Rhinolophus ferrumequinum: one gene and its partners. The protein of the gene in region 1 purifies or fractionates together with the protein of each later gene. This does not show direct contact. Links are inferred from orthologs where the notes say so. Each region holds a gene or a part of one and is shown on either strand. Other genes may lie near its edges.

Region 1 (7,900 bases):
CTGGGACAGAAACCTTATCTTCCCCCATTGCTGGTTTGTGTATATATGACTGTTCCAGATCCCTTCACTGGCGTCTGGGTGTAGGTTTTAAATTTTTATATACATACATATATATATACATATATATATAATGTACAATATATACATAGGACTGTAACTACTTTGCTTTTAATAATTTTATGAAATGGCAAAGGTTTAGCCAAGAGGAAACCTTGGCATGAATGTGGGCTTGGAATTCTTTTTTCTCCTGTGGTGGATAAATCTGCCTTAAAAATCAATGTAACTTGGGGACTGGGGGCTTGTTCTGGGTGCCAAGTGCATCTCTTTATAGACAGCTAAAATGTGATTTTTTTTCCAAACTCGGTTGTACCTCCAGACCCATCACTGACCATTTGCCTTACCTGTCTTATAGTCTGAAATGTAATAGGAAAGATTATGGGAAGATGCCAGTTGACTGAAGTGCAAACCTTTCAACTTGAAGTGACCCAGGTGGGAGGTGATAAAACCGTTCCCATCTTAGAATTATTGTGATGGCTTAGGTGAACTTAGTACAGGGTTCATGCCAATTCCTGCTATACAGGTGTCCATGTCTCAAAAATTATTGTAATCATTGGTACCATTGGCAGCCTCAGCAGGGGCCGAGGAGTTTTGTGAGCCCTGGCAACATAAAACACCTTGGAGACGGCAAAGCTGTCAGTGCCACCAGTTGAACTGCATATATTGTGAGTTGACCCAGAATCTTTGGTCTGCAGAACGAAGAGCTGGTATCTTCCATTGGCAGCATTCGCTTAGCCGCCAAGTCTTCACAGGTCCCGCTGCTAGTTGCTTGGTGGCTGTGGATGATGAACTTCGCCCGGCGGGATTCTTGGGTCCATCTCATTGGCTCCCCTGGGGGGCAGATACACCGTGTTCTACATACCACACATGAGTGAATTGCAAAAAATAGTACTCGATTCTCACGTAGGTTTATTTATGCGCGTGTGTGAATGTGTGTTTTAATTATGTGTATTTAACTCTTTAAAATCTTAGATTTTAATTTATCCTGTAAATTTCTGTACATATAATTTAATAACAAAAGCCTCCACCAGCAACAGCATGTGGAAGATACAGACTTGTTAATTTCTTCCCCCCTTCCTTCCTCTGGCCTCCTCTGAAAACTCCCATCTGCATTTTAAGGTATCATGCCTCAACAAGGTATCATTATGTAAGGATTCTAATTCCTTATAATTCAATAATGTCAAGAAAGTAAAATAAAATGGAATGTTTCCCTTCCCAGCTGCCCGTATTTCCAAAGAACCAGACTTTTGCTTCCTAGTCCCAAAGAAGACAGTTGAGCGCTTCAGGGTTGTTTTTAAATGTGGTGTGAGATTCCCTGCCAACACCCAGCTCTGAGGTAACTGTGCTTCCTTCCTGGGGCCTGGATGGAGCTCCACAGCATCGAGGTGGATCATTGCGGACAGGGCAGCTACGCTGCATCTTACTTAACTCCTTCCCTTCTCCCGACCGGTGGGGTCACCGGGCTGTTTCCTAAAGGTATTCTTGCTGCTAAATGCCTTTCTCAGCTCAGAGCAGTTCTGAGTTTTAATGGGGGAAACAGAAGGAAACAAGAATGTCTGGGAACCAAAATCAAGAAAAACAGAAATCTTGTTTTGATTTCGTGTGTTAGAACTTGTACCACGCCTCATCTGTACCCCTGGAAGTTTCCTGTTTGACACAGGGTGTGAAGGAGGGGCCTTGGAGACATGGATTAATACGGAAAGAAGGCCAGTCCTACCATTGTCATTTGAACACATTAATGAAATCCTGATGAGGACCTGTTTTTTGTTTGTTTTCCTTTAAAATCCAATCCTATTGTATTTGTATTTAAAATTTGTACACATTTGTATAATAATCTGTATCTTGTGGTATTTGGTACTATTAGAGGAAAAACTTTGGATTCAGACCTTGCAGTTTTTATATCATTGTTTTATTTTGTTTTTTAAATAAATTCTAGCGGTTTGATCCAAACTCCATTACAGTTGTATAAAGAAATAAAATTTTGTACTTATATTATTAAAAATCACATTTTTAATATTTGTAGTCCAGTCTCAGCTATCTTTTCCCTGCTGCCAACCAAAGTTGCTCCAAAATTGTAAAACCTGTTTTCCACACTATATCCTACCATAATTATCTTAAAAAGAAAAAACCCATCTAGAATAGAGGTCAAGTTTCTGATCTTAGCCATTTTCCTAACATACACCTTCCTCTGTTTCTATTAATATTAACTCTGACGTTGTGGAATCTCTCATGTTCTCTCTTTCGCAGATTGCAAGCCCAGTGACTCTGATAAAGTGTAGTTCTGTTCACTGGCAAATAAAATAGTATGTACATTACAGTGTTCGCCTAGCTCAAGAAAATATTCATCTGTAAGGTTCACATCTGAATCATGTACTTAATGTGATATATTTCACACAGTTTCAGCACTGTCCTAACTTGGTGGTATTGGATAAGTCACGTAATCTTTATAGGTGTCCTAAGTCACATCTGTAAAAGAGTGTTCATGTCACTTCCTTGTCTCCAAGCCAGCAGCCAGCCAACCTGACATGAATGTTTAGAACTATTGTGAACATTTAATATATGGAAATTTGACCTTTTTCAAGGTAAAAATTTCAATGCAAACAAGGTGTTACTAGTCATAAAGTGAAATATTATGATTGAAAGGCTAACGTACAGAGAGGCAGCAAGAAAGACATCACCATATTGCTGAATACTATTATAGAGAATGACTTGCATATTTTCTCTCACTTAATCCTCCCAAAAGCCTTTTGAGTATTATCCCCCTTTACAAATAAAGATGCAGAAAAGTACTTTCCCTAAGGTTATACAGCTAGTAGTAGACGGTAGCGCCAGAATAAGCACACTGTTCAAACTGACCCCAAAGCCTAGGCTCTCTTCTACCCAAAGCCACTTATGTAATCCATCAGAATCCTCCGTTATCTACAGTACTGAGTGATTGTAGGAAAACTATCTGAGACTGTTTCTTTGTTCAAATGCCCTTTTGTCCTAGGTGGATTTTACGATAGAGGCCTCACTTTCTTGTCATACTATTGTCTTTAAACTTTATTGGCAAAGTATCTTGATTTTTGTCTAGTAGCACTTACTGGATATGATAGATGACATTGCATTTAAGCAATATGTCAGTCTTAAGGGACGTAAGCATTTTTCCCTTTGAAGGTAAAAGGAAGGCATTTGATATTCATAAAACACTTAAAAGGTAAAATTAAAATGGATTTTTTACTAAATGACTGTTCCTTGCAAAAAATTTTTAAACATACTTTTAATCAGTTTTGTACTAAATATTTTCCATTTATATTCCTATCGTTTGTGTTGACAAAATCCACACACTTCCATTTCTAACTGAATAGATACACAGTATTCTGTTTGCATGGAGTTAAGATGATTTTACTCCGCTTGGGGGGTATGTGGGTTGTTTCTGCTTTTTTACTATGAAGGATAAAACTTACAGTGGTTTTATTCTTGGCAGTAAAGCCAAGATCTTTTGCCCATAATCACTTTAAACCAGAGTGATGCAGGAAAGCAGGAACTTCTGGTAAATCACCACCCAAAATAATGGAAGAAGCCAAAGGAAGTTCATGCTAAATATACGCCATACAACCAAGCAATATTCTTAAAGGAAGAAAAATATGTATGTTACCTGACATGACGTTCATCTTAAAGGTACGTGCCCCCCTCCCATAGTCCAAATACCATTATTGAAAGGTAGATGATTTAAATTTTCTTGTTAGTCATTGTGCTAGACAATAGTGGTGAGGAAAGGAGACATAGTATCCCAGCCCTCATGGAGCATCTAGACTAGTGGGGGGGAGGGCATTTATTAAAAGGATGGGCATTATTAAAACACTTCAAAGCACAGGAGTACGTGACTCCCATAAAGTTTTTATATTGTGCATTAAAGATGTCAGCCCTCAAACAGGTTGACATCTGTTAAACACGTTAACACACAGAAGTGATTAAGTTCTAATTTAGGTTTTCCATCCTAAATTTGTGCACAATTTAATAGGCTTTCAAATTTAAGAATCACAAACATCGTGGTCAGTAAATACTAAAGCCACTAACTACCAAAGCAGTGGTTATTGTATCTTCTGGTGTGCGTGTCAGAAGAAAAAAAACAACCAATAGGTCAGATCTAATGTGCAGGCAACATCTGAAACATGGCAGGACAGGAAGGTTTAAGGAGATACTAGAATCACAAAGCTGGGGAAGGCCTTTGGAATCTTAATTCTTGAGGTCCACAGCTGTACTTCGGCGACCCCAGAAACTCCCTGAAGTTAAATTGTGTCTCTGCCTTTTCTCTTCAGAAAGGCTCATGGCTTCAAATTCTCAAAGGAGCCTGTGACCTAAAAAAATCAGAGTCCTCGATCTAATTCCAGCATCCAGAGAAAAATGGAAACTCACTGCTTGAATCACACAGTAAATGGCAGAGACGTGCCCTGCTCGTGGCTACATCTGTGTGCTTTCTACCACCCTGGGCTCTAGCCCGTCCCAAGTTGGAATTCATTGAGTTGTCTCTCTGTCAAAGGATCTCAAACCCCTGGACCTCGACCTCAGATAGGAAGAGTTCTACCAAGGCAAGGAGACAACCGGCCAAAGAGGCGTCAACCCCAGCGGAAGGTGAGGTCCCAAGAGCTAAAACACGTAAGAGTGAGAACTGTAGTCTGGGCTTGCTCTGCAACCTTCCCCAAGTCATTTCTCTGGTCTGGGACCCGGTTTTCCCGGTGTGTTAAGAGATCACTAGGCCACGCCCCTAAACCTTAGAAAACGTCGAGGGCGTGGCTTAAAGGTCCAAGCTCTTTACCGCGCTACGCTGTGCGTGACGTCCGCCGACACCGAGTAAGCCGCAGTGAGGTCACCGCCCTCCTTCTCAGTGATCCCGACCCTCCTTCTCAGGGGCGGGGCCTGTGGCCACGCTCCAGACTCCCTCCGCCCTGCCCCCACCGGCGCCACCTCGCGGACCATCCGGCGCGTCACGTGACGGGTCGAAGGCGCTGGCGGTTGCTGTCAGCTGATTCCACGGGTTGGTGGCAGCGGCAGCCGCAACGATGGACTTTCTCCTGGGGAACCCATTCAGCTCTCCGGTGGGACAGCGCATCGGTGAGTCCCTGGAGTCTCGGCCAACCCCGACGCAGGGCTTCGCGCCCGGCCTCGGTCCCCGCGGGGCTCACCCACGTCCCCAGTCACACACCGGAGGGAGGCAGGGAAGGGGAACGCGCCTGGCGCGTCTCTCCGAGACTTGGCCCCGCCCAGTCTCCCGCCCATCTTGATTGACAAAAGCCTTGGTCCATTAGGGAGCCTCGGATTGTGATGGATACCTGTCACAGCCAATAGACAAAGAGAGAGGGCGGGTCCGCCCGCGGCTCAGCCAATGCGCGGCTGCTGGGGTCGCGAATACAGGGAGAAAGTTTAGACGGTTAAAGGGACTGCCAGCTTTCGCAGTCCTTGGGGTGTTCCATTTTTTACCTCTGCGCGTTCCCAGCTGGGGTCGCGCAGCCTGGGCTCTTGCCGTCTCCTTCCTGAGTTGCCAGGCTTTCCGGATACGGATACCTGAGAAGGGCTAGAAGTTCATTCTCCCAGGATCAGAGCTGGGCGTCTGGGCAGCTCTTCTCTGGCAGTCCTCAGCCACCAGCGTCAGCTCTCCCGCATAGAGTTGCCGGCGCTCCGAGCTGCAGTGATCTTAGAAACCACCTGATGGGGCCTCCTTTATTTCTCAGTAGCTCGGACAGCCCAGCACTCTGGCCAGAGACACAGGCTTACTCAGAGCCCAGGTCTCCTGACTCTCTTACCCCCTGTTGACGGGACACGTACTAGTTCAGTGACGCTGCCTCTCTGTGCCGATGTTTCCTTCCCTGTAATTAGCGGATAATAAAGGTCCCTACCTCCGTGGGGTTGTTGTGAAGATTAAACTCATTAATAAATGTAAAGTACTTAGAACAGTGCCTGCCAATGTTCTATAAAAGACAGTGGTAATATTTATTGTCAGTGTTACTGAGATGCCACCAAGGGAGGCTCGGGAGTCCCTGCAAACGGCGAGGTCGTAGCTCTCATAGGTACTCAGTCCTGCCTGCACCACGGGAGGACCCACGGGCCCTCCCAAACAGCTCACACTTCTCCAGGGAGTCTGGCTTTGTCTCCGTCTTTCATGAGGAAACCGCAGGCAGTACTGTGAAATCCTCTCTTCATCTTTTTTGATAGTTTAAAGCCTGAAACCCAGGTTGGGAAAATTGGATCTTTTAAATAAGACATTCTTTCCATTCTTAAATGTCTTGGAAGCCAAGCCTAACTTAAGTCTGTCAGCCCAGCTCTGTGTTGTAATTGTCACCGTGGCTGTTTGTGGCTCTTCTGAGGTTTTGTAATCAAATCTCTCCAACAGGGGTGTGGCCGTAGAGGATTTACAAATCACCAGGAAGCTCCTGGACCCAAGAGGGGAAGCTGTCCTCTCAGGACCACCAACACCCACCCCCTGCGGCTCCCCCACACCACACACACACACACACACACACACACACACACCCGGGTCATTGTTTTAGAGCTGAAAAGAAGGTAGCTCTCCTTTCATCTTTCTTTCTTCAGCTACAGATACCACTGCTTTCATCACATGCCAAGTTTGAGACTTAACTACTTAAAACAAAACTCTGCCCTTCTAAGTCAGCCTATAAATACCTGAGGCTTTCTTGAAAAGCTCACCTGAACTCTGGGCCTCAGATGGTCAAAGAAAACAGCTTCTCTTTTTACCCTGAAAGGGTTGCCTGCCTTGGGTAAGAAATACTCTGTCCAAAGAGAATGCTACTAAATCATAATACATTAGAGCACAAACCAAGTTTCACTGCTGGAAGGGTCCTTACCCCGGGGCTCTTCTAACCTAAAGTTCTCCTCTGAATCCCCTGGAGATCTTATTAAAGCACCGCAGGCTGGGCCCCACCCCCAGAGCTTCTGACTCTACAGGTGTGGGGTGGAGGCCTAGAATTGGTATTGTTAACAAGTTCCCAGGGGATTCTAATGCCACTGGATTGGAAACTGCATATTGAAAACCTGTTTCAGTCCATCGTCTTCATTTTACGAAGGAAAATGAGGCCCAGAGAGGGGAAGCTAGAGACTGTGACTCACCCAGGACCCCGGTGAAATGATAGGAAAGATGAGATGAACTCCCCAGAGCCACTGAACTTTAGAGCAGAAGAAGCTCTAAAAGTAGAATTAAATGAAGAATATCTGCCCTCGGTATTCCATATTTTTCTTTTAGATAAAGAGGCGGAAGTACCACCGATTGGCTGTGATTATTGATGACCTAATATTAGCGGCTCGTATTTCTATAAACTACCCGAGTACAATAATCTCAAGCCTGCCAACTCCATCCCTTAGTGAGGGTAGAGCCCTGTAGACTTGATGTCCCTGAACTCAGTGGATTCTGACGCTGTGTTGGGAGGTTGTTGTGTTGTGTTATGAAACATGTGCCCTGGTACCTGCCAGACAGTAAGTGTCCATAATCGTTAGCCATTGTGATTTTTCACTGGTGTGATCATCATTGCTGGGGCACACTCTAAGTTAGTGGCAGAGCCAAGGTGCCAACCAGGGCCCTGATTGCAGTGCAGCCTCTGTGTTGGTCGCGGCATCATTGGGAACGAGCAGTGACTGGCCGGCTGGCAGCCATATTCACAGACAGGTCAGGTTTCAGGCTGTGGGGTGGAACCGGTTCTCACTGGGGAATTAGAGCCTTTGACTGGCCCTACAGCTAGAACTGGTAAATAGGTTTTGTGAATAGGTTTTGTTCCCTCACTGAGTCAAAGAAATAAGAGTCAAGTCCCGGATTTCCGCCCTTTTGGATTTAGAAAATAAAAACCGTTAGTGT
Region 2 (7,720 bases), on another chromosome or scaffold:
CTAACCAACTGAGCCAACCCGCCACCCCAGAAATGGAATTTTTAAGGCCTCCTCAGGCAGGGGGCATGTAATCAACTGATCTAATAGTTAGCTATAACTGATCTAATGGTTAGCTAGATAATCTGAAAATATAGAGATGATAAAGGGTTGTCTTTATCAGATTTTTATTTTCACCCTGTAGAAAGCTGTATATTGGTACATCTAACCTGAAGAGACCTTTTCATTTTTCATGCCTTTTAGTGCTAACAGGGTTGGTTCAAAGAAGAAAAATAAAATTTAAATCAATAACCATGAGGTAGGTTCATATGAATACTACATATTTTTCATTACTGGAGTGTAATGAATAGTAGTTGTATGATTGTATACATTAAACTCACAATTATTTGGAATATGAGCAACCAGGAAAAGAAAATAACCCGGTTTTGGGTTTATTTTACATGATCCTCTTTTATCAGTCATGACATGTTACTAAGGCAATTTTTAAAAAGTCATTTCTAGTGTGTTCTAAATTTGGTACATACTCGGACCAGGCAACATTTGCAGGAGTATTGTACAAAAACATCACAGTGATGAACCTGAGGCCTTTTTAAGTTTCATAATTGCTTTCCCTACATAAAACGTTTTTTTTTTGAAAAGCCTTTTCAAAAGATTTTAACATTATTTTTCATTTTTTTGTACTGAAAAGTATTTGTTGACCATGTAAATTCAATTTTACACTTCCTTGAAACTTTGCTATTATTCAGTTAGTGAAAACTTTACCAAATCTCAGTCCTTAGCCATTCTGTTCTGAAGTAGAGTTTACTACCATAACAAGGCCACATATGTGTACATTGCCACTGATGGGAGTACCTACCCCTGGAGTGTGACAGAATTTTAAGATTACTGAGAGAACACGTTTGTGGGTCATGCCTTATTTTGAATTGGAGACAGTAATAACTCTAGAAAGTGAAAAGACAGTTCCACATGTTTAGAAAGGAGGAAAAAAATAGCCCTTAACAATCATTCCCACGCCTTGAGCCTCATTGCCCTTCATTCTATAGATCCTCTCAAGCTTCTTGTGACTTGTTTTTGGTTGTAAAAGAGATGTTGTGATGTGGCATTTGATCCCCTATTGATCAGCAGGGTTATAACTTCTGGGTTTTCTGTCCACAATGCTCTATCACTATATTTGAACCAACCTTCCTGAGATGACTTTGTAAGGTAGTGTTATTATAAGCTTTATTCCTCTGCTGGCCTCTGATTTAACCTTTAGAAAACATGCGAGGGGCCTGTGTAATATGAATAGATTCCAGACCGTATTCCCACAGGACTAGTCTTGGCTATCCTGACATGGAATAAAGATTCACTATAGATCTTATTGCCATCTTTGAAGCATTATAAACTTGTCTATGTAAATTAGGTTTAGGGCAAGCCTGAGTGAATGATACTGAGTATCCGAGTTAAGTTCGAGAACATTTCATTCTAAAAAAGGCCACAAAATTTTTTTTCTTTTTGTGTCCTTTTGGGTGAGCGTTGCCTATAATCAGTGCCTTATACAGGGCTAAAATAAAGCGAGCACTGTATGTTGACTGATACCTGAGCCACTTACTGTGCGTTTGATGTACTGCCCTTGATTTAATCCTGCTGGGATTCGTATCAGTGGCCCTAGAGGGCTGAGATGTTTCAAAGCTGCGGTTTAAATGGCAAAACCACTTATCTTACTTGGGTAATGCTAAAGTATATCCTGTTTGGTTTTGCTAAAATCTGAATTTTAAATATTTGGTACTGGTGGATTAGGTTTAAAGTTCTGCTTTAAAATTAATCTCTTAATGTTTGAGGAATGCCTTTACGTTGTGGTTTTTGCAATGCAACTAGCTCACACTGTTTTTAAAAGGTCAAGTTAAACAGCAGGGACCTTAATTCAGGGACTGCTTGAAGATGAATAATACAGAGGAACTTTCGACAATGATAAGTTTTTCTGAGGTGTCATTCTCATGTGAGGTTAACCTGTATTATAGTTATCGGCATAAAACATAAAAAAGGTTTTGAGAAATTGGCACGCCTTAAAATAGATGAACAATGCAGTTTTTGCTAATGGTGCTTGCTGTGACTCAGAGCAAGGATATTCTGCTAAAAAAATAGCTTCAAATTGAAAGAACTTGGACCATTTTTTAAACATGGCTACCTTACCTAAACCATTTTCTGAAACCAAAGGATGATGATACATTTATAGTAGTACTCTTATTAAAAGACTTTGTCATACTTAGGGGGGAAAAACCCCCAGCATTTGTTTTCTGGTTTATTAGGCTATTTATTTTCTTCTCTAACTTAATATGGTACCTGAAAACAAAGCCCTTCAGTTACTGCTCAGGTAACTGTTCATAGTGACTCAGCCTTTGGGGCTTCTAAACCAAGGATTGACAATCTTTTTTTCCCTGCCTCTGCATCTTTAGCGACAACAGCATACTACCATACAAAGCTCTTATTACCTCAGCCAAAATTACTGATTTTTAAAATGCAATTTTGGTTTTTCAATTTTTTACCATCTGGACCATTTTTTTCTCTTGAAAAATTTTGGATTTTTTGATTTGAAGTATACAGTGTTCAAAATGAGCGGGTATATTGTAATCTATTTTTATTCTCCCTAAATGATTTCTGAGAACTATGCATTCACTAGATTTCTGTGTGTGATGACACAGCAGTCACTTTAACACAACCTCAGTGCACTTTTGGTTAGATATTGCCCACCAAATATCCAAGCTAAAATCAATTCCTTTGGGGATTCTAAATGTAGTTAAAATTACACAGGTCTGTACGAAAACACAAGTTATTAATAAATTTCAGTGGCTTGTTCATGATATAATTTGTATCCCAGATTATAATTGGAAACGTTTCTTAAGCTATAGCTTTTACTGGAATAAAACAATAAGTCCTATAGATTTTTAATTTAGAATTTGTCTATTTCCAGAAAGGATTGAAAGTAGCTATTATACTGGTATTAGGAAGGTCATTTACAATGTTGCAGAATACAGAACATCTTCAAGTATTTGGCTTAACAAAATGAAATTTTGCCAAGCATAAATATTTACTCTTATGACATGGTGGCAAGGCTTTTCTTTGCAGAACGTTCTCTGCTGTTTCTTACCTGCCAAAGATTCTTCCCTCATCCTCAGTATGTGACATATATTTTGGAAAAAACAAAGCAATTTAAATGATGAAGCAAACTTCTCTAGGCAAAACTGCTTAACACACAAAATCATTGCATACTTAATAGTGTTCTACGTTTTTAACTGGGAAGGGCACTAAAAATCACTGTATACTTGAGTATTTCCTCAAGATCTTTCTGGAAAAATAATCACATCTCTTATCAAGATGAAAGGCACGGAACTAAATTTTTTTTTGTCATTGTATTTGTGCTAGTATGAAATATTACAGCTTACAATTTAGCAATAAAGTACTGGGAAGGTTATTAATCGTTAATTAATACCATAGATACATTAATGCTGTTAGAAAGACATGACACTCCTGCTTTGAAGCGCTTACATTTCCAAACAGTGCTAATTTATAAGCAATGTGGAGGTGGCCCTGCCAATAGTTAGTTAATCCCTTTCTCCAAGAGTGTTCATTAGCCACACCGAGGAAGAACCTTAAGGTTTTACAAACCACCCTTAACCTAATTATCTAAATCTTCCGAGTCTCGTGATTTGATGTGGCCAAAAGATTCCTGCTACAATTTTGGTCCAGTTCTTCCGCGTATTTATGATACTCAAACCCTTTAACACCAAAAAATGTATTACTAAGCTAGGCCGATATGCATGTCCGCCAAAATGTCCGCAGAAACGTTAAAAGCTATCACAAGGCCAGTTTGAGATACCTCAGAAATGGCCTTCACTGTCCTTCGAGCCACTTTTTAAAGTAACATCCGAAGAGACTGCTAGCTCTTAGTTAAGAATCCAAGCGTGTCTCTCCAACCGTCAGAAGGGTGTGCATAGGGCAGGGAGGATTTTAAACCCCATTTCACTCCCCCGTCCCTGAGATGTAAGAAAACACCCACTATATGAAACTAGGCGGGGGAGAACTGCAGCCAGCTGCCAAAAAAGCGCTCTGCAGGGAGGTCGTTTCCCTGAGTCACGGAGAGGGCGGGAGGCTGGGCCCATCTGCCCACTCCACGTTCTCTTCGTAAGGGATTCAGTTTAAATAGGCAGGACCCACAGGGAACGGGAGCAGCACCACCATTCCTCAAGGCGGTCCAACAGCCACCGCATTCCCAGGAGACTCCACATTTCTCTAGAACTCGTTCTGCATTCTGGCAGCAATCAGCCAACCCATCCTGACCAGCATCACGTGCACCCGGAAGTACGTGGGTGGGACCTAAAGCGCCCACGGAAATGACGTCGGTCGCCCCTAGTCGCATGATGTGGCAAAATGCAAAAAAAAAAAAAAAAGAAAAAAAAGAAAGGAGGGAGGGAAAAGCCGGAGGCTGGGGAAAGTGATGAGTCCAAAAAAGTAGTCCCTTCGCTTCCTCCAATTCCCCTCATGTGTCAGCAGTAAGCGAGTCCCACAGCGCATTGCGTCCAGAATTCCTGCGCCCGCAGCACCGCGGCGCTCCGTGGAGGGGTACATAAGACGGAGGGGGTGAGGTGACTTGGGCGGAGTTCTGTCGCCGGGATCCCTCCGCAGGGCTCAGCCGTTTCCGGAGTCTGCGCTGCGCCCGGTTCCGCCATTGCGGCTCTCCCGGACCCTGGAGCCTCCGCCCCCGACCCGAGCTCTTTCGTCTGCCTGCCAGTTTCCTGCGTCCCCGGAGAGTATCCTGCTGAGCCCAGCCTACCCCCTCCCTTTTCTCCTCCTCTCCCTTGGAGAGTCCGGGCAGCCACTGCCCCGCAGCCCCAGTGACAGGAGGAGACCATACCCCCGACAGCGCCATGGCCCAGATTCTGCCAATTCGTTTTCAGGAGCATCTTCAGGTGCGACTGGGCCCTGGCTGGTCAGGGCTGTGGAGAGGGTGGTAAGGAGGAGAAAGCTGGAGTCTAGGCCAAGCAAAAAGCTGAATCGGAGGTGGGGGTGGGGGTTGTCGGTGTCCGGGGTAGATGGAGGATGGGGGCGCTATTTTGGAAAGCTTAAAGGGTTAAGTGATGTGGGGTTTGGATGGAAAGGACGAGAGTCGGGGTGCAAAGTGCCGCGAGGCCTGTCGTGGGTTCGAGGGCCTTTCTGTCTTCGCTTCCTGGATGGCAAGAACTGCGCATACTAACTCCACCCCTCTCCCCGTTTTATTCAGTTCATTCATTTGGATAGGTTGGAGCGGGGGGAATTCTCCGTGTTTCTTCCGGAGCAAGGGTTTCATCGCCTAGGTCAGTGCAGGGCTGTCACCTCCCATTGCTCTTTTTCCCCCAACGTGTCTGCACCCAGGAGTTGTAGGGCGGGTGGGTTGGGGAGGAGCAATCTTTTTCTTCCTTCCTTTTGCGGCTCTCATCTGGGAAAGGCACCTTCCCCTGGGGGTGGGGGGAACGGCGGTGGTTTGCCTCTTGCCATCCCCGAGGCAGTAGGAACAGAAGGTCACTGAAGGAACTGGAGGATAGAATGGAGGAACGTATTTCTCAGGGCGGTGTCAATCTGAGTGCGTGGGGTCAAGGTCCCTAGGGGAACTCGCCTTTTTTCCCCTCTCTCTTGAGTCCTGGGCATGGAATGGCCCTCAATCCCCTCTTTGGTTCTGGAAGGTAGGAAGGGTTATGGAGAGGTTATCTTGGGGTCTGCTGGAGTGTAGCAGGTAGTTGTGGGCGTGAGTACCTCCCTCAGGTTTGCTGGAATCAAATCAAGCCCTGAGGATAAAGCACACCTGCTCTGAGATATGCAAGGTTTTGGGCCTGTAATTGGCTTCCTTTTCGTAGGTTCTAGAATTCTTCCCCATGGTGCGTTATCCTGTAGACAACATACTGTCTTATCTGGCAACATGCCCAGGGAGGGCCCAGGCAGGTGATCATTGGAAGGTTTGACTGAATTAAGCCTTTTCTGAGCTGATTTCCCTGGTTCACCAATCCTGGTTTCACTTTGGCTGAAATAATTTATTAATATTAATGTGCTTTCTTCCGAAATACCCCTTAAAGAGGCTTGCCTCAGCTCAATCTTCTGAAGAGCTAATTTCACAATGATAAAAGAGACTGGTTTGACATGACACTAATACTAGTGACCTATTGGCTATCGGACACTTTACCACTAGAAGGCTAATTTTATTTACTTTTTTCCCATTGGTATAACATACATTAAGGATTCTTGTTAATAAAAAGGTTTAATGTATCAGTAACATAATTTCATATTTCTTTACAGGTATTATCACCTTTGCTTGCATCAGCAAGAAATTCTTTTCCTTTTAAGTCTTGAAATGTAATGAATAATCTTTACTCAGAAAATGAGTTAAGTAATGCCTTTTCTTCAATCATCTATGGTTTTCAGATAACTTATCTGAAGTAATGGAACACTATTTTACAAAAGGTTAAAAAAATGTTAAGTGACCTAATGGACACGGAGAAGTTATTGTTTATGCTCAATCTAAATTTTAATTGCTGTGCTTACTTCTGTTCAAGTGGGGTGTAAATGAATGTGTAGGTTTAGGGGAAAAATGTCCTTGGGTGTGGGGGAAAACACAGGCTTCTCACACTGAAGTGCATATGATGTATAATCTTTCTGCAGACAGAGGTTTGTAAAATCATACACAAGAGAAGCAGGTATAGTTGCTGATTACAAGGCAGAAATACAGCCCACTAGTAAGTCTTATTTCTTAACTAGTGGTGGTTTGAGCAATAGCTTGTCACACCTAATTAAGAAGAAACAAGAATTGTTAAATAATCCCAACGATTGGAATCCAACCTTTTAACTGATTGAAGACAGGTTTAATGTGAAGACGGTCTGATATCTAAAGTATTTGAAATTTCTGCAAATACTTGAGTGAAGCCATTTTCTTCTCAAATAATTTGAAGATTTGAGCATAAAGCAGCTTTGTAAATATACTTGAATAATTTAGTCATCCCTTTTTTGGACTAATATGCCATGCCTAAACTTAAGCTTGCTACTGTGACTTTGTACTCCAACTGGTAGTGATTAGTTGTGCAAGGATCCCCAATCACCAACCTCTTCCAGGAAAATATACTCCTGACTTCTCATTTTTATCCCTTCCTTTTTTAAAAATAAATAAGAGTTGTTTTAATTAGCATTTTAGGTCTTTGACCTCTGAGTCCTGCCAGTTTGCTAAGTAGCAGAAAACTTTCTGAAGCACGTAGGATAAAAATTGGGAACAAGAATTGAGGAACTTGAGTGTAGAGTTAGCTTGTGAAAGGTAGACTGTAAATGAATTTATTTCTATACTATGTAACTACTTTGGCCAACTGAAGGATCTATCATCAAGGCTTGAAATTGCAGCAAATAAATAATAATATTTTAAGTTATGAAAGATTTTTTTTTTCTCTTTTAGGATGTTTAGGCTGATAGCAGTCAACAGATGAGTGCCTATTTGAGACATTGCTAGAGTTGCAGATTCTAAAAAAAACAAAACCTTAGGCTACATATAAAATGTTGCCTGCAATTCTTAATTCTTTGCACATTAAGTATCTTTATGTCAATGAACACATTCCACTGTTTACCAGGTTTCTCAGGTCTGTAATTAAAAATCTCCACTCTGTTTTCTTCCCTTTGATCCGTAGACTCAGGCATGGAATATGTTGTGAGTTGAATGGTAGGAGTTTTTGCTATG
Region 3 (7,885 bases), on another chromosome or scaffold:
TTAGTGGCAGGATCTTCAGGAATGAATGAAAGTCATTATGAGACCTAAATATTATTATTTTTTTAGTATATTTTATAAAAATGAAGGATCCATTTGTATCCTGCCCTTATCATGGATGATAGTTCTCAAATTTTATAGCAGTATACATAACTCTATGGGTAACGATTTTAAAGCAGATTTTTGTTTGTAGTCCTGTTTAATGCAGCTAAGCTTTAAATACAGAGGGTGCCAAAAACATGTATACATATTTTAAGAAAGGAAAATTGTATTAAAACTGTAATACTCAATATATACCAATAACAAAAGATGACTACAAGTCACGTTTGATTTCTGCAATTACAAGAGGTACTCAAAGTGGTTACCATCAGTGTCCAGACACTTCTGATTATAGCGAACTATTGTGCAACGTTGACCAAAGTGTCCATTTGTATACATTTTCTTGGCACTCCCAGTATTATTTTTCTTCTAAAAAATTTCTTTTTTAGTGTTAATTAATTCCATTATGAATGCCTTTCTTCTAGACACTTTTCAATTTAATATGATCCATGGTTTCTGGGCTTATCACATATTTCTAGTAACTTGCGACTTAAAGGACATTCAAAGGCTGGTAGCATATGACTTGCTTCCAATCCATTGTAGAATGTTCCTCAAAGAATATGATATTTTTGCTCAACCTCACTAATCATTAGAGAAATGCAAATAAAAACCACAATGAGATATCACCTCACCCCAGTCAAAATGGCTATCATCAATGAATCAACAAACAACAAGTGCTGGTGAGGTATTGGAGAAAAGGGTGCACGGCTGGGATTGCAGACTGGTGCAGCCACTATGGAAATCACTATGGAGGATTCTCAAAAAACTGGGAATGGAAGTACCTTGAGACTCAGCAATTCCACTCCTAGGTATCTATCCAGAGAAATCCAAAACACTAATTCGAAAAAATTTATGCACCCCTGTGTTTATTGCAGTGCTATTCACAATAGCTAAGACATGGAAACAACCAAAATGCCCATCGGTTGATGACTGGATTAAGAAACTGTGGTACATTTATACAATGGAGCATTACTCGGCCATAAAGAAGATTGAAATCTTACCATTTGCAACAACATGGATGGACCCAGAGAACATTATGCTAAGTGAAGTAAGTCAAATGGAGAAAGACAAATACCATATGATCTCACTTATATGCAGAATCTAAAGAATAGAATAAATGAACAAACTAATCAGAAACAGTCTCAGAGATATAGAGGAAAAACTGAGGGTTGCTAGATGGGAGCGGGAGTGAGGATGAAGGAGAAGGTGAGGGGATTAGAAAGTACAATTGGTAACCACAAGATTGCCATGGGGATACGAAAGTCAGTTTGGGGAATATAATCAATAATGCTGTAAAGATTTTATAGGGTATCGGATGGACATCTGTTTTATTAGAGAGACCACTTTAGGGACGGTGTAGATGCCTGATAACCGTGATATACACCTGAAGCTGAAGCTGAATAATAATGAATGTCAACTATAATTTAATATATATATATAGTCATAAGAAGCAGAGTACTGCATAAGGAATAGAGGCAGTGGAAATGTAACGTCTGTGTGCAATGTCAGAGGGGTAGTAGATTGGGGGAGGGGGTTAACACTTTGTGAGGGGTATAAATCATAAATGTCTAACTATTATACTGTTTTGTACACCTGAAACTAGTAAAAAAAGGAATATGATATTTTTATATTTATGGGTGGATAATTATCGTGTGCTGAATCTTTGTCAGATGGCTGTGTATTTAATGTTTTATTTCAAATCGTTAAGTTTTGGTGCTCAAATCAATCTTAACATTCCTCTCTGTAAATAAGCAAAAAATAGCTACAATTCATATTTAAAGCTATGTACTTCCTCTTTTACTGTTCTGACACTGCACTCCATTTCTATTCTTAGGAAAAATAAAACAGGCAGGTCTTAGTGTGCTAAAACCACATCATAAAGCTGTTTTGCTTCATGGTCCAGGAATTCTGGTTCGTTTCCCTTCTCCCTCTGTTTGTCTAGCTCTTAAAAACAATCCCTCCTTTTGATTGCTTAATACCTCACCATAACCACAAATAAGTAAAGAATAATTTTAAACTTTTAATTTTCCGTGTTACTGGGGAAATCATTCACCAAGCCCACAGACTTTTAAAAAGATATTGTAGGAGTGAGGGATGAGTATATCATGTTGTATTTTCTTGGTTCAATTTTGCAAGATTTATTACTAAACAATTTAAAAATTTTAGTCTGATATTATAGACATTGACAAACATCTTTATTGAGGCTTCAAGAGATGTTTATCTCTAATGTGATAGAATAATGTGTGTTAGCAAGTATTATTTTCTTTTTTGCTCCATATCATTTCTGTCTGGTCATTAAATTTTTTTCCTCAATTAGTCATGCATATTGGATTAGCTTATCAATGGTTATTTTCCATGAGGTTATATTTTCTCTCTGTAGTAAATAAATATCTTGCAGTGAGAAATAGAATTTGAACAGAATAGATTTTAAAAGAGGAATCTTGAACCCCATTTATGAAAGCTTTGAGAGCTATTATTCCATATTTTTAATTTGTAGATAATATACACACACACACACACACACACACAAACACACGCACACATATATTTAGCTATACCTATAGACATTTGCCCTAGATGATTTAACTGTAAGCTTTATTAACTTCTTATTTTTCTCCATCCTATCAACTCATATTTTCCTATTGTATTCATTTTCATACTTTTTTTCCTCAATGAAAAATTTCTACATATAGAATGGACTTCCTCTTGTTTGCTACCCTAAACATGTTTCAATAGTTTTTTTAAGAGAAAACACTTTCCATACACTTTAGCCATGGGATTGTTTGCCTTTTCCCAAACAAAATCTTTTGATGAGTTGTTTTATAGTGTGAATTTAATTTATAATGTCAAATTATAGCATTTATTTTTAGCAAGTCAATCAGCAAGAACAAGGAGGCTGTTTTAATTAGCCCAAATATGAAATCAGGGTTTATAGATGGCCTTAACATATAATTTATGCCTGGATTTGTTTGGTCTATAAAGTGTGGAAAACATTCTGATTCACCCACATCCTGGCAGGTGTTTAATAGCTCGACATTCTGGACACTCTGAAATTAAACAAATGTCAGGGGAAGATTTATTCTGAAATGTATATAAAAAGTAATTATCTGGTAGCACAGGTATCAATTTGTTGATGACCTCCAGATATTTCTATATAATACATTTGAAAGTTCAGATTTTTAAAAAATTATGGTAAAATGCATATAACATAAAACTTACCATCTTAAGCATTTTAAGTGTACAGTTTTAGAAATGTTAAGTGTATTCACAGTGTTGCGCACACAATCTCCAGAACTCTTTTCATCTTGTAAAACGGAAACTCTATATTCATTAAATCACAAGTCTCTATTTCCCTCTCCCACCAGCCTGTGTCAACCACCCTTTTATTTTCAGGATCTATGAATGTGACTACTCTAGTACCTCATATAAGTGGAATCGTACAGTATTTGTCTTGTTGTGACTAGCTTATTTCACTTAGCATAACGTCCTCAAGATTCATCCGTATTGTAGCATTTGTTAGAATTCCCCCCCCCCCTTTTTAGGCTAAATAATATTCCATTGTATGTATATACTATCTTTTGTTTATTCATTCATCCTTCAACAACACGAGTTGCTTCCACCTTTTGGTTATAGTGAATAATGCTGCTATAAACGTGGATATACAAATATCTCTACCCCTGCTTTCAATTCTTTTGGGTGTGTACCTGGAGGTAGAATTACAGAATCACATGGTAATTCTATTTTTAAATTTTTGAGAAACTGCCATACTGTTTTATATAGTGGTTATACCATTTCAGATTTTTTGAAAAAATCATAGTCATAGTTTTAAGGGGAAATTCTAGTCAAATATTTGTGAGCCCCTAAAGAGCCTCTTTAGAAACTTCAGATTCTACAGAACTCGGTCTGAGAACCAGAGACTTAGAATACTCAGATCATCAGGCAAAGAATCCACATTTGTTGCTGGGGTCTCTTAGGTTTCACAGGCAAGGTCTGTTTCATGCTGATGGTGGTGTGTTTGTTAGTATAAAATCAATGCCTTATATTTACATAGCACCTTGAATTGAAAAGCACCATGTAAATAAATGAAGGTAGTTAAGAACCACTGTTTTGGTGGTCCAGGACCAATTTTGATTGGTGAATGTAATACTTTCCACAATTATGCACTGCATAATTACTTAGGCATTTCTATTTTAAATTGTACATTTAAATGATGAACTAGTAGTGATTGCTGCTCTCCTGTTTTTATTTTTACATATTTTTTTAAACTACTGATGCTAAATAACTTGAGAAGATTTGGGATTCATGCTAATTTTTATTTGAAAGAATGTTTCTCACAACATAGCTAAATTTTTTTAAAATACAGCTTTTTATGCATGCTTTTCAAGCTTGGACTAGTACATATCAATAATCATTCCACTGAATTAAAATATCAATAAAGAGAATAGGCACATATAATATTATAGGCCTAAACTCCAAGTACCTTTACTTTGCATTGGGATAAGCAATGATATAAAATTTATTTCTGATCATCTATGCTACTATAGGGATCAGGAGCACAGGTATTTTTAGAACAGGAGATGACCCAAGAATTTTTTTTTTGTATTAAAAAATGTGTAAGATTGTTGATTGTGACGTGTTTTTTTCAATTGGGGGGTGAAATCATAGGGTGCTTGTTTTTTACTCAACTATATATTATAATTCACTTGTCATTTCTTAACATATAGCAGCCAATACTGGAAGGAATTAGCAACAGTGAATGTCAGGCAGCAATGAGAAACCAGAATGGGATGTTAATTTGTCACAGAAAAATCCACAAAGTACAAATCTACATCTGGACATACCCAAATGTTACTTGTGAAATTAGGCCAAATTCCTACTGAGGATTTATAACCTACTGAAGATGAATGCCAGGTCTCAAGGACTTAGCAGCAAAAAGGAGAAAGGTAGGATCATGTTATACTTTCTATTCCAAATGAAATCTATTCTTTCCTCATTTATTGTTAACTCTCACTTGAAATCCTAGCCTCAGCACTTCTTTGGTTCATACTTAGTTTCCATTTTAGTTTCTTTGGACATGGTGCTTGGAAAATAATGTACAAACTTGTGTGTGCACGCCCTCATGTTTGTGAGCAAACAAGGCAGTGGGATGCTGTTTGGATTTAAATTTTGTGGTGCCAGGGGCCTGACTCCATTATAGCCCATGTTCCTTTGCTAAAAGTGGCGGCTTCTCTTAGGAAGCAGCTTCCTCTACTCAAAACAGAGGTTCAGTAATTAGGCAAAACAGCTGCTTTGGTTTTGTTTCTCCGTATTTTGTGGAATAAATGGAAGTACCTGTTCTGGATTAACTTCATTGTGGTGCTCAAGGGATATTGAAACACATGATTGCTTTTACATGATAGAATTAACGACTTAATTAGATTTTGTTTCCATGGTTCAAGTTTATAAATAACAGTCGGAATGATATGTGAAGAACGTACCTAATCAAGACACAGTCAGTTCCCTATGCTTGTACATAGTATTTCCTACATTCCTATATCTTTCATGTGGTCCTAAAAGCACTATGTAGGTATAAAATAAAAGCTTTTTGTGTTTATGAACATCACAAGGATTAGCAAATACTGACTAATGTGAAGGTCGGCATGGAGTGTGTTAGCAAATGGAGTGGGGTAGTGGAAAGCGCTCTTAACAGACAGATATAAATGTGAAGCCAAGTCTCACCACTTAGGAGCTACATAATCTTGTCATGTTACTTCACTTCTCTGTGTTTCAGTTTTCTCCTCTGACAAATAGGGAGTAGTAACTATGTCACGCATAGCGGCCTGCTGGGTCTCAGCTCCCGCTCCCAACACAAGAACGCAGGACACAGTGAGGCCAAAAAGGAACACCAACGGAGCCATAGATAGAGGAGTCACACCACTATAGTCTTGCTGGAGGCTGGGTTGGAGACACAGGAAGCAGGAGCCACATGATCCACAACCTGCCATCCACTTGTCTCTCTGCCAACCCACCTCACTTACCAGCTGCAATCCGCTGTGCTAACTGCACTCCACCGCTTGGTAGCTCAGCCCCCATCTTCTTGCTAGCCCCCATCTGCTGCTAGCGTAGCCACGGCAGTTATATTAGTGGCCAATGGCTCACTGGTTACAGTGTTACAGTTGACAGCCAACTAGCCACAGCTGATGGCCATCCAATCACAGTTGATGGCCATTTACTACCTGAGCCAGCACCTTTCCACGTGAGGCCGAGAGCCTGGAAACTGCATTCCTGGCTCTGTCCCCACAAACTATCTTGCAGGTTATTGTGAAGATTTGAGAAAATATTGGTGAAGTGTCTCGCTCAGTATGCAACACTCCATAGGTATTGGCCAAAACAGAAGCTGCTATGTCTGCTCTTGAAAAATAAGCTCTTACGTGATTCTAAAAATATTTCACTTTTTATAGAAGGTAGACAATTTTATTTTAAACTTTCAGAGTAGATATGAAAGCAAACAAATATTAGCAATGCATTGCGGGGTAAAGTCTGGTTATAAGCATAAACCTAGAGCAAGTATTAACAGCATAAGGTGGGAATTTGAAACGTGGCACTACTGTTATGGTCCAGGCAGGAAAACAGAACTGGTGTATTTTAATAGAGAAAATTTAACGTGGGGAGACTCATCTTAAACATGAGAGGAGACCTGAGAAGGCAATCAGAGGTCAGTGAAGCAACATAGAGCTTAGCAACAGAGGAAACAGATATTGCTCCCACAGCCAGAGGGACAAAGGGGTGGAACCAGAGCTTAGGAGGCCTGGAGAGAGATGGAACCATGATAGAGATGGACCCCTGCCTGAGATGTCACACAACCCACAGAGAGAAAGGAGGAGAAATATACTGGTTTTCCCACTTCTCACCCTTCAGTCTCTGGTCATTGTTTCCTCAGTGGTCCATCCTAATTAGAAACCAGTAAATGCTGTTTCAGGCTCTTGTTAAAGAGCCTGGGACGGGATTTTAGAGGGATCAGAGCCCTGTAGTACAGAGCAGAACAGGGGAAGGGCGAGGAATGGGTCCGAGGACAAATGGGGAAACAGCCAGCAGAGTGACATTCAGTTATTTTCTGAGAAATTATTTGTATGGCCTGAGACAGAATTGTTGGCAGAGAGTTTATTGCATTTGCTTTTTTCTTTTTCTCACGGTCAGTGCCCTCCCTCCCTGTATTTGGTGAAGGGCAGTTCTAAGGTAGTGAGATCCAAAACTGTGATTAGACCGGAAGGAGGCTCACAGGTACCACAATTCAGAGAACTGTGGTCAGGTCCAGAACAGAAAACTATGGCAGGAAAAAAACAAAGGCAAGTAATGGTTTATTAGTCCAAACAGATAAAATAGATTCTTTACTGGCAATGGATCAAAAATCAATATTAGTGAAACAATCTGCAGTAGACTAGAGATCATGGTGGTTTGCACAAGATGGTGAGAAGTGGATATATTTTAAGGGTGGAGCCAAGAGGATTTACTGATTGTAAGTGTGGGGTGGGGGGAAAGAAGGGTGAAGGGTGATTCACAAATTTATCCTGAGGAACCAAAAGAATAAATTTGCCATTTATCGAGATGAGCAAACTGAAAAAGAAGGTTTGGGAGGATAACAAGAGTTTGGTTTATGATATGCTTAATTTTAGAACATTTTGTTTTCAAAAACTCTTTTTAAAACTGCCATTTTTGTTTGTTTGTTTGTTTATTACATAATGCAGGAGGGTCAGTGCTGAAACCAGGGAAATTATTAAGTGAAAGCTTACACATCTAATGTGAAACCCCA

Evidence for each region.
Region 2: the proteins of TOM1 (region 1) and CLTC purify together in Homo sapiens (affinity purification with western blotting, with the first as the bait; 3 studies listed by BioGRID). This does not show direct contact. The link is inferred for Rhinolophus ferrumequinum from reciprocal best matches to the Homo sapiens genes TOM1 and CLTC.
Region 3: the proteins of TOM1 (region 1) and ZFYVE16 purify together in Homo sapiens (affinity purification with western blotting; 3 studies listed by BioGRID and IntAct, with this or other methods). This does not show direct contact. The link is inferred for Rhinolophus ferrumequinum from reciprocal best matches to the Homo sapiens genes TOM1 and ZFYVE16.

Annotation. Positions count from the first base shown.
Region 1 is NC_046293.1:11,036,220-11,044,119, reverse strand, and holds the start of TOM1 (target of Myb1 membrane trafficking protein), read left to right. Parts: upstream 1-4,878; 5' UTR 4,879-5,099; coding exon 5,100-5,151; intron 5,152-7,900.
Region 2 is NC_046304.1:26,489,092-26,496,811, reverse strand, and holds the start of CLTC (clathrin heavy chain 1), read left to right. Parts: upstream 1-4,688; 5' UTR 4,689-4,901; coding exon 4,902-4,943; intron 4,944-7,720. UniProt on the Homo sapiens protein: Clathrin is the major protein of the polyhedral coat of coated pits and vesicles. Two different adapter protein complexes link the clathrin lattice either to the plasma membrane or to the trans-Golgi network.
Region 3 is NC_046290.1:51,760,231-51,768,115, forward strand, and holds the start of ZFYVE16 (zinc finger FYVE domain-containing protein 16), read left to right. Parts: upstream 1-4,829; 5' UTR 4,830-5,039; intron 5,040-7,885.